Struthio camelus: one gene and its partner. The protein of the gene in region 1 interacts with the protein of each later gene in a biochemical or structural test. Links are inferred from orthologs where the notes say so. Each region holds a gene or a part of one and is shown in the gene's direction. Other genes may lie near its edges.

What was found.
Region 2: the proteins of NR4A3 (region 1) and SIX3 form a complex in vitro, tested with the Homo sapiens proteins (3 studies listed by BioGRID). The link is inferred for Struthio camelus from reciprocal best matches to the Homo sapiens genes NR4A3 and SIX3.

The regions. Positions count from the first base shown.
Region 1 is NC_090943.1:77,431,737-77,439,080, reverse strand, and holds the start of NR4A3 (nuclear receptor subfamily 4 group A member 3), read left to right. Parts: upstream 1-4,285; 5' UTR 4,286-4,736; intron 4,737-7,344. UniProt on the Homo sapiens protein: Transcriptional activator that binds to regulatory elements in promoter regions in a cell- and response element (target)-specific manner.
Region 2 is NC_090944.1:109,687,458-109,694,795, reverse strand, and holds the start of SIX3 (homeobox protein SIX3), read left to right. Parts: upstream 1-4,112; 5' UTR 4,113-4,424; coding exon 4,425-5,191; intron 5,192-7,338. UniProt on the Homo sapiens protein: Transcriptional regulator which can act as both a transcriptional repressor and activator by binding a ATTA homeodomain core recognition sequence on these target genes.

The DNA.
Region 1 (7,344 bases):
AGACTTTATTCACCTTTGTCACCTTTTACATTTATTCTCTGAATGAAACGATGGGGAGGATTCAGACTCAAACCTAAATTCAACACAGGTTTTATGTGACAAAATTATAAACTACAGTGCTTTCATTAATGCCCCGTCTCCAGGAAGGAATCCAGAAACCCAAATTCGTCGTTTCACTCTTTGCCTACTTTCAGGGAGAGAAAAGGGAAAGAACACTCTACCTTCAACACGTTCACAGGGCCGCACGTAAAATCTCACCCCTCTCGAGAAAAGGATGCATAGCTTGGGACTGCAGGGCATCGCTTCTGGCCAGTGCGGGGTGAGGGTATTAAAACATTTTCTTGAGGATGGTCGTCTACCAGCTTTCTTAAAGACACAGCCAGAAGAAGATGGGTGCTACCTTCCGGCAATACAATCGTTGGCCAGTTACAACGCTCCGTACAAACCAGAAGATGTGACATTCCCTTCGGAGTCCACATCGACCATTGTCCAAGGGAATGGCCTAAGCATCAGGCTACTGACCGTTTGGGAGGGTATGGAGGGGAAAGGAAACCTTTCCCTTGCTTGGTAGAAGGGATTAATTGGGCAAGAAATTAAGTTCACTTAAGCCCATGACAGTATTTTATACTGTGAGAGTTTAGTAGGAAATACGGACGCCATCCTTGGAGCAGGAACGGCTGCGCAGAGCCCCTCCGCTCCAGCAGATGGCCTGAAGCATTAGACCGCAGTGCTGGCATACAAGCCTGAAAGCGGTTACACCACTTCAAAATGATGAGCGAGGTGCCACCCCGGATGATCCAGGGATTACAGCAGTCTCCTGGGAGGTGGAGAATGTGGGTTGACTCTCCTCTTCTCCACTCTTATCCCCCTACCCCAGACCGCGAAAATTTGAATCTGGACGTCCTGTTTTCTGTGCAAGTGCTGAAATGACCAAGCTATGGTGTATTTAGGGTGCACCAACGGACTTCTCTTTTGGGGTATTCCTAGAAGAGAGCGTTTAGGCAGAGGAACAGCTGGTTTCTACATCCTCGAGAAAGACAGGGAAATTGGTAGGTAATACAGGAGGATACGCTTTGAGCAGGAGGTTAGACTAGATGATCTTCCACACAGCATCTCTATGGCAGTATTGAATTTTAGTGTCTCCAGAGAGACGGCAGCTGGACACGATTTCTGGACTGCAGGTTTTGACTTGGGTATTTAAGTTCTGCAGTAAGTACCTAAAAGCAATGACTTTTTATTATCTTGATTCCAGAAAGTTGTGGCCTGAGGACTGGCCTGGACTTCACAAGCTCTGGTCTTGAAGAAGGCAACTGTAAATTCTGATAAGGAGTTCAGCATTTAGTTATTTGACCATTAACACAAACGCCATGCATGGGAACTGGAAATGAACCCCTCAGCCTCTCCATATTGTTTACTCCCTGTGCGAGTCTGAGCCACCTGCACTTCCCCTACCTTTGGCCTCACACAGAAAACGTCACTTGACAACCTTCCCGCCTCTTTGAGCTTTACTTCTCCCAAAGCTTCCCCCAGATTTTCACAGGCTTCACCTCCTCATTCTCATACACAGCCTCCAGCTCCTAGTTTTTGTCCCGAGTTATCCACAAGGCTTCAGCCACAACATCCTTACGGCGCTCATTTCTGCACTGCTGCTCATGGTCACTCCAGCTGACGGGTACACACACGTAGTAGAAGTTGCCCAGTGTTGATCCTGTGCCCTTACAGCTCCCGGCTCGGTGTTTATCCTTAGCTTGGGAGCTCCTTACCCGAAGGACTTCCTTTTTGCAGGCTCAGAAGCATGCAGCACATAGCGATCTCTCATTTAACACCTCGCTGCGAAATGATCAACAGCGCTCACCCAGGGGGAGAGGGCTGCCTTCGGGAGCCCCCGCGCACTGCGCGGCTCCCCAGGGGCAGACCCAACACCCTGAAGGGCTTAGCGCTCTCAGCGACACTTTCTAACCCTTTTCTCCAAGTATTCCCACATAACGCTGCTTTAAATGCCGCCTCAAGGACTCGTTGAAAGACTTTTAAAACAGTCTTGCTTCTGGTTTGCGATTTGGGGTTCCCCCCGCCCCCTTTAGCCGTCTGGCATAACGACATGTGCAGGCTGTGGGAGACGGGGCAGCTCGAGGGAGCGACGAAGTTGCACCGCGCCGTGGAAGAGTCACGGGATTGGGGGGGGGGGGGCGGACACAGCGGGGCCGATTCTGCCGCCCTCCTCCTGCTACCGTCATTTTGGAGGCTGGTGGCCCATACAGCCCGTGCAGGCGTGCGAGCCGGCCTGACGGGGTTGCTTCACGGCCCGCGGCGGCTCCCCGAGGGGGCGAGCGGCGCTCCGCAGCCCCTTTCCCAGCAGGCAGGCAGAGACGAGAAGAAATGACAGCATGGAAAGCGGAGTGATTTTATCAGGGCCGGTGCTCGGGGTGAGCGGCGGGCGGAAAGTGTCGCCCTGCGCCTTCGCCCTCCGCCGCCCACGGCGGGGGCGGCTTCAAAGGGGATCTCCCCGCGCGCGGCGTGGCCGCGCCGGGCCAGCGCACCGGCCCCTCGCGGCGTTTGCGCCTCTGCCGGCGCTTGCTCAGCAGCCGGGGACTCCCCGCCGGCCGCCGCCGCTGCCATGAGGTCACCGCCGCGCTATGCGCGCCCGCCGCCGCCCCTGCGCCGCTCCGTGACGTCAGGCGGGGGTATCCCCGCCGCCGCCGAGCGGGGCATCCCCGCCGCGGAAACACCGCGCGCGCCCCCACGCGCGGCCCTGCCCGGGGGGGAGGGGGGCGGCCCCCCCCGCGCGAGCGGGGCGCTCGGCCGCCGCTCAGGAGTGCCCGGGGGTGGTGGTGGTGGAGGGGGGGGTTGCAAGGCAAAGGCAAAAAAGGCAGCGCGCTGCCGAGCGGGGGAAGCACCCCGCGGGGGGGTCTGGGGGGACGGGGGCACGGCCGGGCGCACACGGCTGCAGCCGGCGAGCGGGCGGCGCTGCGGGTCGGCTCGGGCCCGGCCCGGCCGGGTGTGCGCGGCGCTGCGCCCCCCGCGCAGAGGGAGCCGCGCGCGCGTGGCCGGGGGGGAGGGGGAGGGGCGCGGCCCCGTGACAATGGGACTCGCTGGCGCTATAAATACCCGCCCGCGTCTATATTTGGCTTGGCCGGATCACAAGCAGGGGGCCCAAAAATAGCCCCGCGCGCCCGCCCCGCCCCGCCCCGCGCCGCCGCCGCCGCCGCCGCCGCTCAATGGGCCGCGGCCGCGGCGGGGCCCCGCCCCCTCCCCCGCGCCGGCCCCGCCGCCCCGCGCAGGGCCAGCGGCTAAATTTAGCAGCGCCGCTTGCGTCAATTACGCGCCTGTCGTGCGTCAGCGCGCTGGGGCCGCCCCCCGGCGCGGGGCCCCGCGCGTCCTGTGCGTGGATTGGCCGCGGCGGCGCGAGGCCGGCGTTCCGCCGTGACGCGGCGCGGCCGGGCCCGGGCGGCGGCGGCGGCGGAGGCGGCGGGTCCGGGTGCCCCGCCGGCCGGGCAGCGGCGGCGGCGGCGGCGGGGGCCCCCGCGTGGCGCCCGCCGGGCCGCGCCGTCGGCGGCCGCCGCCGGGAGTGGAAACGCTGCTCGCAGCTGCGGGAGGCTGGCAGCGCCGGCGTGGTGCCCTCGCGTGCACCTCCACCTCCACTCACGCGTGTGCGTCCACGCGGCTCGAGCGCGAGCAGCAGCGTGGCAGCGGTGCTAACAGTCGCGGCAGCCAGCGGCCCTACTGCAAGCGCCAACAAAGCGAGGGTCGTTCGTTAGAGGCTGCGGCCGCCGGGGGCTCCAGCGCCGCAGGCTCGGGAGCCCCCGACGGAGCCCCAGCGCCGGGAGCCGCGCGGAGCAGCCCCCGCCCCCCCCCCCCCAGCACGGCGCCCGCCACCTGCTCTTTGCTCCTGCGCGCCGCAAAGTCGAAAATAAAAAAAAGTCCCGCTGAAAAAGCCGCTGCTGAGCCAGGCAACGCTCTTTTCCCCCCGTGAGCCGGGCCAGTAAAGAGTTGGCAAGCCCACATCACCGCGCGATCCCTCTTATTGTCATCACTAGTTTTGCAGTTGGGAGCAGCTCGCCCCGCTCCCGCGGCAGCCGGCCCGCTCGCCCCGCTCCCGGCGGCGCGGTGCAGCGCGGCGCAGCGCGGCGGCGGCGGCGGCGGCGGCGGCGCACACACTGGGGCGGGCGGCGGGGCGGGCGGGGGGGGGTCAGTAGCGTCAGGCTCCCATGGCGTCACTATTGACGTTTCGCATTCCAGCCGCTCTATGGAGAGGCCGCTAGGGCTCCTCTCGCATAAATGACGTTCAGAGAGAGGGAGAGGGAGAGCAGCGCGGAGAGGAGGCTCCTTCCTCTCTGGCGGCGCCGCGGAGCACACGCGCTCGCACGGGCACCGGGCACCGGGCTCTCGCCGCGGCCGCGCACACACACACGCACACGCACACACACACACGCACACACACGCACACACACACACGCACACACACGCACACACACGCACACACAAAGGCACGTTGCGGCGGCTCGTCACTGCCTCGCTCGCGCTACTCAGGAGCAGCAGCGGGAACGGGCTCCCGCTTTCTCCAGCTTTTGCCATCCTTTCCCATGACTCGGGATAACGCGTCCTCCAGATCTGCAGCCGCCGAGAACCTCTGGGGTTTCCTTTTTACAATTTTGCCGCTGGACAGCGCCTACATGCACATTTAAGGAAACAAGGCATTTACAAACTAGATGTAAAGACGGAACCTCCACAGCAATCAAGTATGTATATGAACGCGAGAGAGAGAGAGAGAGAGAGGGAAAGAGAGAATGTGATGTGTTTGGACTTGGCAAAAGTTGTGCCGCTGGGGTAGATGCTCGCGACATGACAGCTGTGTGCGAAGAAGCTCGGGGCGGCTCATCCGAGGTGCCGCGGCTCTAGCCGAAACTTTGCCTCCCTTTCTCTCCCGTGTGGATGGTCATTTGCTACTCGGTATCGGAGCCTCCCTCCCAGCGCTGCCCCCTCCCATGCCCATAGCGCGACCGCCGCCGCCGCCGCTCCTCGCCGCCAGCGGAGCTGGGTTTGTGGAATAAAGCCCCGGCCGGTACTAAGGTATTTCTGCTAGTTGTTGTCATGGAAATGATGCTGCCGGCGGCGGCGGGGAGTTTACAGCGCTTGTGATGAATGGCAGTAATTTGTCTTCTTCCTTTAACTGTGCTTGGAAAATAGGTGGTTTTGTTTGCACAAGTTAGAGCTGTCTAATAGGGACGGCGGGGCAGGTTGATCTAATCTCTCTTCAGGAGAGAGCAGACCGTAGGCAGCCTGGAGAGCTTGCTGAAGAGGTAATTGTTGGAATGTGGCATATTGTATTGAAATGAGTCGGGATCTTTGCTAGGCACGTCTGCCCGGCATCTGTTCCTCAGAAATTTGCTCTTTTCCCTTTGGAGGTCAGAAATTGTAATCATAGGCTGTAGTGACCCAGCACGTGTGTTACAGTACAGAGAGGCTTAACTGCACTGTCTGCCCGACTCGCTGTATAAACGTCTCACTTACATTATTGTCTTAATGGCTGGGAAAGAAGTTTCGGTCCTGGAAAGAATCGATAAGGCACTGGCACTCGACTGCGTTATAGTGGGGGCGGTTGTCGCGACTGCGTTATCGCGATAGGTCTTAGGCAGAGGTCTAAGGCGGAGGTGTGGATCGCCTTCCTGACACTAGCTAATAACGCTATTTTTTAACTTGCATTTTTGAAACGATGGATTTCACGCGAGAAAATTTCCCAAAGAAAAGGCTGAAAACGCTGTTTTCTGTCGGGGATTTGTTGCGTTGGGATTCGATGGTTTTTTCCAGGGGAAAAAAAAAAGTTTGGGAATGGATCGCTAACTTTTATCCAACCCACTTCACTTGATTACATTCTTCGCCCTATTTTTCTCTCCTCCGTGGAGACTGTTGTATGTTGGAGTCAGGCCCCGCTAAAACAATGGACTGAAGCAGAGCAGACGGCTTCTTCGGAGGTGAAACTCACCCGAGCTCCTGGATATTTGCTGGAGCGATCGCGTGGCTCGGAGCGATCCCCAAAATCGCGAGCTAACCAGCAGTGGAAATATAGCTTGAAACTTTTAATTGAATGGAGCTTCCCCTTTCGCGGTCCCTCCCGGGTAAATGAAGGTTTCGAAACTCAACTGAAGAAGTCACAATCACAATGGAGTATTTCACGGTTTCCTCCTCATATTACAGGGTGGGGAGGGGTGTCACTCGGGGCTGAATGTAAAGTGCACGGAGGAAGAAAAGAGCTTTGACAAGGGTAGTTATTTCCTCCTAATTTACAGCCCTTAAGGCTCTGTGCTCCTGGCTCAGGCGTCTGCAGTCCGGAGGGGTGTTGCGTGTTTAAAAGCGCAGTGAATGTCTCTAGGTAACCGCCGGCTCAGGGGGAGGAGAGGAGCCCTAGGGCGCTCGGAGCGGTGTGAGAAGCAGCCTCGCAGGAGCTTGGCCCCAGAGCAGGGAGGGAACAAAACCAGCGGGAGAGAAGGAGATGAGCTAACAGTCATTTCACATCCCCGAGCCGCGGCGGGATTCAGAGGCAGGGGGCAAGGGGAAGCCGCAGAGCGCGACGGAGCTGTTGGCGCTCCCCGGGAGAGCTCCCGGCGCAGCCCCCGCCGGCCCCGGCATCCCCGGTATCCCCGGGAGCGCGGCGGCCCCGGGGCCGGGACTCACCGCTTCTGCGGCGCGGGCGGCCCGGAGCGCGGCCGCGGCGGGGCTCCGCGACCGGCCCGCGCTCCCTCCCGCCTGGCCTGCGCTGAGGTGCCAAGCGGTGCGGGGGGCACAGCCGCCCCGGGGCCGGGGCCGGGGCCGGGGCCGGGGCGGCGCCGTCGCGGGGGGCAGGGGTGCAAGCCCGGGAGGCTGGCCGCATTGGCAGGAAACCCCTCAAGCCCTGGCCCTCCGGCCGGTCACCACCTTGCTCAAAAACTTCCAGCCTGCTTCTGACGGCTCCCCCCCCCCATCACCCCCCCGCCCCGGCCGAAAAGGAAACTTCCTGCTCCGCGGGCGGCCACGCTGCCAAGGAGCGCGCCGCATCAATGGATGCGCGGGCGACTTGGCGGAGATGCTGCCTCTTTGCTGGAGTCAGCCCTGCCCCGGGGCCGGTTCTCCCCTTGCCTTCCCCCTGCCCCGCGCTCCTCACCAGAAAAACAAGCAAGCAAGCAAGAGCACGGCACCTCCGCTTGCCCTGTCCTTTTTTCCCAGCCCGGTGCCTTCTCCCTTTTGTGCGACGGGGGAGAGAGAGCGCGGGGCTGGCAGAAAAGGCGCTTCCCAACCGGCCCCTCTCTTTTCTCCCTTGGAGCAAGGTGGGGGCTTGCCGAGCCGCGAGGGGGGAAGGAGGCGCGGCCGCCG
Region 2 (7,338 bases), on another chromosome or scaffold:
ATATTCATTTATCCTGAGAAACAGTGACAGAAAAAAGAGGAGAGAAAGAAAGAGAAGGAAGGAGCTGGATAGATGTGTTTTTAAAGACGGCAGCTGTACAAAATTGTCAGCGCTTGCCAATGAAGAATGACAAAAATTCAATTATATCATAATAAAAAAAAAAGAGAGAGAGAGAGAGAGAGAGACGAACGCGACGGGTTCTCCTTCACCTGCCCTCATCTCTCCCTGTCTCCCCCCTCGCCGTTGCCCACGCTGCCGCCGCCGCCGCCGCGCCGCGTTTCCCGCTCGCCAGTACCGCGGCGGGCGCACCGCTACGCCCCAGCCCCGTCTGCGCCCCGGCCTCCCCCGATAAAAAATAATCAGCTCTCGCAAGCGTCGCCTGAGTCACTCCCGAGTCAGGATTAAGGGGCACTAACTAGGCAGCAGAAAATCGCAGCCTCCTGGGAGCTACCATCAAAACAAGCAGTGAAATAAAAGAGCTTCCCTCTCTGCTTCCTTTCCTCTCCCAGGAAAAGTCCTCCAGGTTGGCAGCCAGATACACACACACGCACACACACACAGAGACAGGTGCAACTTTGCAGGGCTCCGTTCAGAAAAGAACATAGGGTTGTCCCGGTTTATTTAGGGGGAGGTTTTTTTTTGGTATGAGGTTGCCGGATTTTTTTTTTTCTTTTGCTCCCCTGCCCTGCAGAGCCACATGTCATTCTAGCAGCTAAAACAATGAATCATGTGGGATCAAGTAAGAGTGACTGGAAATGGACCGCAGATTTCCCCAGCCCGGAGAAGAAGGCTATCAGCAGCGAGGAGGATGCCGCTTGTCATCACCTCGGACCCCCCAAGCCCCACGCACGACGGTGGGAGAGGGCCGGGGCGGGGGGCGCAGAGCTGCGCGGCCCCGGGAGCCTCCCCGCGGGACCTGAGCGTGCCGAGAAGAAACTTACAGGATCCGGAAAGGATTTCCCCAGCCGAGAGGGCAGTGTCTCCCCGCCGCCTCCGCCGGCGTGCTCCCGCTGCCGCCGCCCGCGCCCGGCTCCGCGCCCGGCTCCGCGCTGCCCTGCGCGCCGGGGGCTGCCGCCTGCGCCCGCCCGGCTGCGGCGCGGCGCCCGCCGGGTCCGGGCTCGGCATTAGCCGATCCCATTGACAGTTTGCAGCCAGCAGCTGCAGTCATTAAAAGCCATTTACACCCTGGCCTCCTCACACAAAGCTGGAGCGCCGGCAATTATCTGCTTGTACATTTCGGGACACGGGGAGCGCGTCCCTCGCTGGCGGGCGGAGGGCAGCGCCGAGGCACCGGCGGGCCGGCAGAGGCAGGAGCCGCTGCCGGAGCGGCTGCCGCCGCCGCCGTGCCGCGGGGACCCGCGCCCACCCGCCGCCTGGGCGAGCTCAAGCCTTTTAGGCTCTTGGCTTCGCCCCTGCAAGAGCTGGCGGCAGCCGTCGCTCTGGGGCTGGAGGTCCATGTGCAGAGAGAGAAGAGCAGAGCTTTATTAAGACCCTGATACTAGCTGATAGGCACATCGGGGTCGTGGGTTTGTTTGGCTTTAAACACACAGGCACACGCACACGCATGCATACACACGCACGCAGGGTACTCGTGCACTGAAATTCCCTCCAGAACACGCGTTTTGAAAGAAACATTTTCCGCAGATACGCGGCTTGTACGTTTCTGGGATAGAAGGAAAGAAAGAAAAAAGGAAGGAAGGAAATAGAAAGAGAGAAAGAAAGAAAAAAGAAAGAGAGAGAGAAAGAAAGAAAGAATCTGCTCTGTACATATTTTGAAGCTTTATAAACTTCATCAGGAATTCTAACAGAGGGAAGCAACCTATAAGCAAATGAACAGAGTATGATTGTCTGGGAGATTAAAAAAAAAAGCCCATATGGATTTGATTCTAGAAATATACATTAGGGGAGTTTAATTTGCAGCTTGACGAAAAATGGAATCAAATATTAAGAAACTCCCGCAGGAATTCCTCCACCCTCCCCTCTGTAATCCTTTACATAAAAGGAAAGGATTACAAAGAAAAAGATTTTGTGTGTGTGTGTATTAAAATCTTGGGCTAAACATATTGTTGTCCAATTAATACCTCCAAGTCGATTTGTATTGGGGCTGAGCAGCCTCTTTTCCTCCTTAGCTGTGCAACAGGAAATATGAGCCACGGAGGGAGGGAGGAAAAAAAAAGTTTACCCCAAGTCTGTTAACAGAAGTGTTTCGGCAGATCACTAAAAATTAAGAGGGCGAGTTATTTCCATTACGAATATGAACCAATGTAGTACACCGATGACAGTTTAGTGGAAATCAGATGAATGTGTAATACAGCGAGCTTCTTCCAGTCCAGCAGCTCTTCCAACTGGACCTATTCATCTGCCACTTGGAATTATTTCACGAGGAGTGCGCTGTGAAAGGATCACAACCAGTTTGGAGCCCAGCTAAAGAACTTCTACCACCCATAGCAGTATTATTATTATCCTTCGGATAGGGCAAGTCACGCTATGTTTTCACATTTTAATTGTAATATCTCTCTTCCTCCCCTCCTCCTTCCCTCCATTGATGTCTGAAAGTAGTTTGGGCTCCAAGCCTCACCCCTCGATCTCCATCGGAATGCAGAAAAGATCTTTAAAAAAGTTTTGAATTCCTCAATGATTTTTCTTCTAGAAAGGCGGCTTAGGATAATTATTTCAGCTTTATTGAGGGCAGATTAGTTGAAGTCTGGATGCTGCGTTTCAATACTCGTTGTACATGCCTTTACAATGTCGGTATTGTTTGCTACTGTGTGTGAACCTATTCAAAATATACACTTTTTAACACCAAGCAAAGTCCTGTCTAAATATACACAGTAAGTCTGGAAAGATGTCCATGACCCGTACAAATCTCTGTAAATCACACTTCCATAGCTACAGAAACTAAACAAAAGAGTTACCAGCTCAAGATGCTGATTAAATCTTCTTAAAAGCAACATACCTAATAATAAATATAGTGGCGTGGTAGCGAGGTCTGGCGACCTCGCTAGCTCTTACTGAGGGATGGACCCCAAACACCACACAGATTTTCTTTGCTCCCAATTAAAAAATAATAATAACTACGAGGAAAATAGGCGTGGGTTTAGACCCGCTTTCGCTCGCCCCCCCCCCCTTTGCCCGTCGGCCGGCGAGGGAGGTGGGGGGCCGCAGCGGCCGGGGACGGCGCGGGCCAGGGTACAGCCGCGGCCGGGCCGGGGTGAGACCTGCCTCGGAGGAAAGAAAGGGGCGACAGGAGGTGAGGCGAGGGGGAGGAGGGAAGGCAGCGGGAGAGAGAAGCGCAGTGGAAAGGCGAAAGAGCAGGGAGAGGGAAGCGGAAGCGGCGCGGGGCCGGGGCGGCGGCGGGAGCGGGAGCGGCCGGGGCTTGGCAGCCCCGCCGCGCCCGCCCGGCCGCCCTGCGCGGCGCCCCGCGCAGCCCCGCGCAGCTCCTCGTCCGGCAGGTACCTCCTTCGGCGGAGGGCACAGGGAGCCAGGGCTAAACCCGGGCTGCACTGTATGTGCTCGCTTCTGGGAGGGTCACCGGCATGAGGATGGGTCTAATGATCTCATCTTTCTTTTCTTCCCCGGCACTATTAGTGCTCAGATAGGCAGAATGAAGTGAAACTACGTGCAAATCATGTGTAAATTGTCTCAGTTAGGAGCCCTTTATCCGAACGTGTATCCCAGCCTGGCCCATTTACTTTCCCCCCATATCTCCTTTAGCTTTAACGAGGCTCGTTAAGATCACAATAATATTCCACCCTCTAATTGCTCATCCCATTCAACAAATATGTGCACACTGCTTTTCGCATTATTTGATCCCTTATTTAGGAGGGGTGTGGAGAGGGAGGGGGGAGAGACAGGGAGAAGGGGAAGTGCTGAGATTAGGAGTTGCAAAGATTAAAAAAAAAAAAAAACCACGCTTTTCCACCAACCACCCTGCTTCCCTCCCCCCCGTGCATTTGGGCGAAGTGGTAAAAACCTTTCTTACGTACTCAGTAATGATTGGCAGGGCTGACAGTGATTGGCAGGGGGTGCCATGGCAACGCCACAACGACACTCAGAAGACCAATAGAAAAGCGAAACAAAATGTTTCAGTGCTGCACTCACTGTGGATTTAGGGGAGATATTATGAGGCTGTTGTCATTAGGGCGATTGCTGTTGAATCACTGAATCCTGACTCGGCGGCGGCGCGGGGCCGGGTGTGTGTGAGTGTGTGTGTGCGTGTGCGTGCGTGTGTGTGCGTGTGTGTGTGTGTGTGCGTGTAAGCGTGTGTGCGTGTGTGTGCATGTGTGTGTGCTCCCGTGCCTCTATGTGGCTGTGTGTGCTTGTGCGGGTGTGGATGCGTGCGCGGTGCGTGTGCCCTTTCCTCCCTTCTTCCTCCCTTTCTTTCTTTTCTCCTTGATTCATCTCCCCCTCTCCCCGGTCATCCCATGGTGTTCAGGTCCCCGCTAGAGCTTTATCCCACCCATTTCTTCCTGCCAAACTTCGCCGCCGACCCGCACCACCGCTCCCTCCTTCTCGCCAGCGGCGGCGGCGGCGGCGGCAGCGGCAGCGGCTCGGGCTGCAGCCCCGGGGCCGGCGGCGGCGGAGGCGGCAGCTCCCGGGCACCCCACGAAGAGTTGTCAATGTTTCAGCTGCCCACACTCAACTTCTCCCCGGAGCAAGTGGCCAGCGTCTGCGAGACGCTGGAGGAGACCGGAGACATAGAGAGGCTGGGGAGGTTCCTCTGGTCGCTGCCGGTGGCACCGGGGGCATGCGAGGCCATCAACAAGCACGAATCCATCCTGCGGGCCCGGGCCGTGGTCGCCTTCCACACGGGCAACTTCCGAGACCTCTACCACATCCTGGAGAACCACAAATTCACCAAGGAGTCCCACGGCAAGTTGCAGGCCATGTGGCTCGAAGCGCACTACCAGGAGGCCGAGAAGCTAAGGGGTCGCCCGCTGGGGCCGGTTGATAAATACAGGGTGAGGAAGAAGTTTCCGCTGCCCAGGACCATTTGGGATGGAGAGCAGAAGACGCACTGCTTCAAGGAGAGGACTCGCAGCCTCCTGAGGGAGTGGTACCTGCAGGACCCTTACCCCAACCCCAGCAAGAAAAGGGAACTGGCTCAGGCCACGGGGCTCACCCCCACGCAAGTAGGCAACTGGTTCAAAAACCGAAGGCAGAGAGACAGAGCAGCGGCGGCTAAAAACAGGTCAGTGGGGGCTGCGGGGCCCCGCTGGGGCAGCGGGAGCGGCGGGGACCGGCGGTGCGGCCGCCGAGCCGGCAGAGCGCGTTCGCCTGCCCTCTTCCTCCTCCTCTTCCTCCTCTTCCTGGCCGCCGCCAAGGGCAGCCGGTGCCCCCGGCAGGGCGCAGCTCTCCGCGGCAGCGCAGCGATGCGGCAGGGGCGGGCGCGGGACAAAGTTTCGCGGCGCGGCCCGAGCCCTGCTCGGGTCCCCACGGGCGGCCGGGGCGCGGGCAGGGCTGGACGCACCCCGCGGCCGCGGGCACCTCGGCGTGTCTGTGTGGTTGTGTACGGCTGTGTGGCTCGGGGCAAGCGGGTCCCCCCCGGCGGGGCAGAGCCCGGCCCTCCCTTCCCTCTCCCCGGGGGTCGCGTCCTGCTCCCCCAGGAGCCGGCGGCCGGCGCGGCTCCGGTTTGGTTTTGGTTTCGCGGGATTTGCGCCGCTCGGGCGCGGCTCCCCCCGCCGCAGAGCTGAGCCCGGCGGTGCGATTGCGAGCGGGGCTCTGCGGAGCAGGCAGCGCCTCTGCAATTGTTCGTATCCCTCTGCACGCACCGGGGGAAGAGCGCACCCCCCCCCCCCACAACCCCAGACCCGTTTATCTCGGCAGGGAAAATGGAGAAAAGCCTTTCAGAGATCGGAAAACCTCTCCTTTCCCTTCCCCGTCCCTCTGTTTACACCACATGGCGACCTGGCCCTGTGGTCGTGTGCTCCCTAGGCGTTTACGCTTGCATTCATTTGTCTGTCTCTCGATGCTTTTTGTTATTATTCCTATTTCTGATTTGCCGTGGTAAAAGCGAGCCTTCCTCCCTTTTTTCTCGCCACCCTCCGTAAAAGTTATTTTGCAATTGAAAATGGGCCCTTAATCCCGCTTGACGGACTGTTTTAATTTTAATTTAAGTTCGGCTACCACTGGAAGCGTGTAAACAAAACTTCTTTTTCTTTTAAATGCTGTCTCCCAAATTCCTCCTAATTATAGCACTGGTGCTATTGATTCAAGATTCTGTAGGAGAAATGAAACCTGAAAGTGCCTCGCCATTTAATTTCCATTAAATGGAAAACAGATCAGCCTAGGACTGTAAATAAACAGAAGTTGCCTACGGATGCTTTTGTTGACTCAACGCTGTTGACAGCACATGAATGCACCCGGAATTGTAAATGGGAGAAAAATCAAAGACGCTGAAATCAGACAACTTAAAATAATGGGAAATGTAGAATAAAATGGCTATCTTTTTCTGCTTGCCGTACGCAGTGAAATAGAAGATAACCCGGTGAGAATCAGTTGGGAGAGGAGTGCATTTTGATTCACAGTGGTGGTGTTGGGTGCTCTAGGTTGTGTCTGTTTGTTCAGTCCAGGACTTTTAGCCCCTTCCCCTAATCCTTGAATTACGCTTCCACTGTGTTTTGAACAGAATAAACGGGTACAGAGGAATATTCACAAGATGACCGTGAAATCGAAAATTATTTATTGCCTCTTTGGAAAAAAATGTACCACAGCAATATATCCTCAAGTGTTGACACTGAAAGGACAAGCACTTGAAAGCTTATTTTGGCTTTCAGTTGGGAAAGGGACTTAAATTTAGAGCGGAGAGAAATGTTGTGTTCCACAATCGTCCTTTTTTATTTTATCCATAGCGTTGCGTCCCCGGGACACTAGCTTACCCCAGTCCTGCCGCAGCCCCCAAGGTAAATCTCTGTCCACCGGGAAATATTTAGATACCTATTCGCCAGAGCAGCGAAGTCAGGACCCGGCGCAATGCTCCCCTGCTGAGGACAGGGCTTTGTAGCGCGTTCCGCAGTGGCTGCGCGCTTCAGGAGCTCGCAAATATTGCCTTATTTCCTAGCAGGCCGGCGGTTCTCTGGGCTCTGCGGCGGGAAGAGGGATTACCGTGGGGAAGGAGAAATGGCCAGGCGTGTAGTGCGGGTCACAGGGCAGCGCCTCCGCCTCTCCCTCCCCCATCCGCCTCCCCGCTGCACAGCGGCGATCGCGCCGCGTTTGTCGCTGCGCGGCTCGGCTCGGCGCGGCCCGGCGCGGCGGCGGCGGCGACGCGGCCGGGTGCGCGGGAGGCTGCGCCGGGCGCTGGGCGGGCTGCTCGGCCGGCCGCGCCGGGGCTCGGCGGCG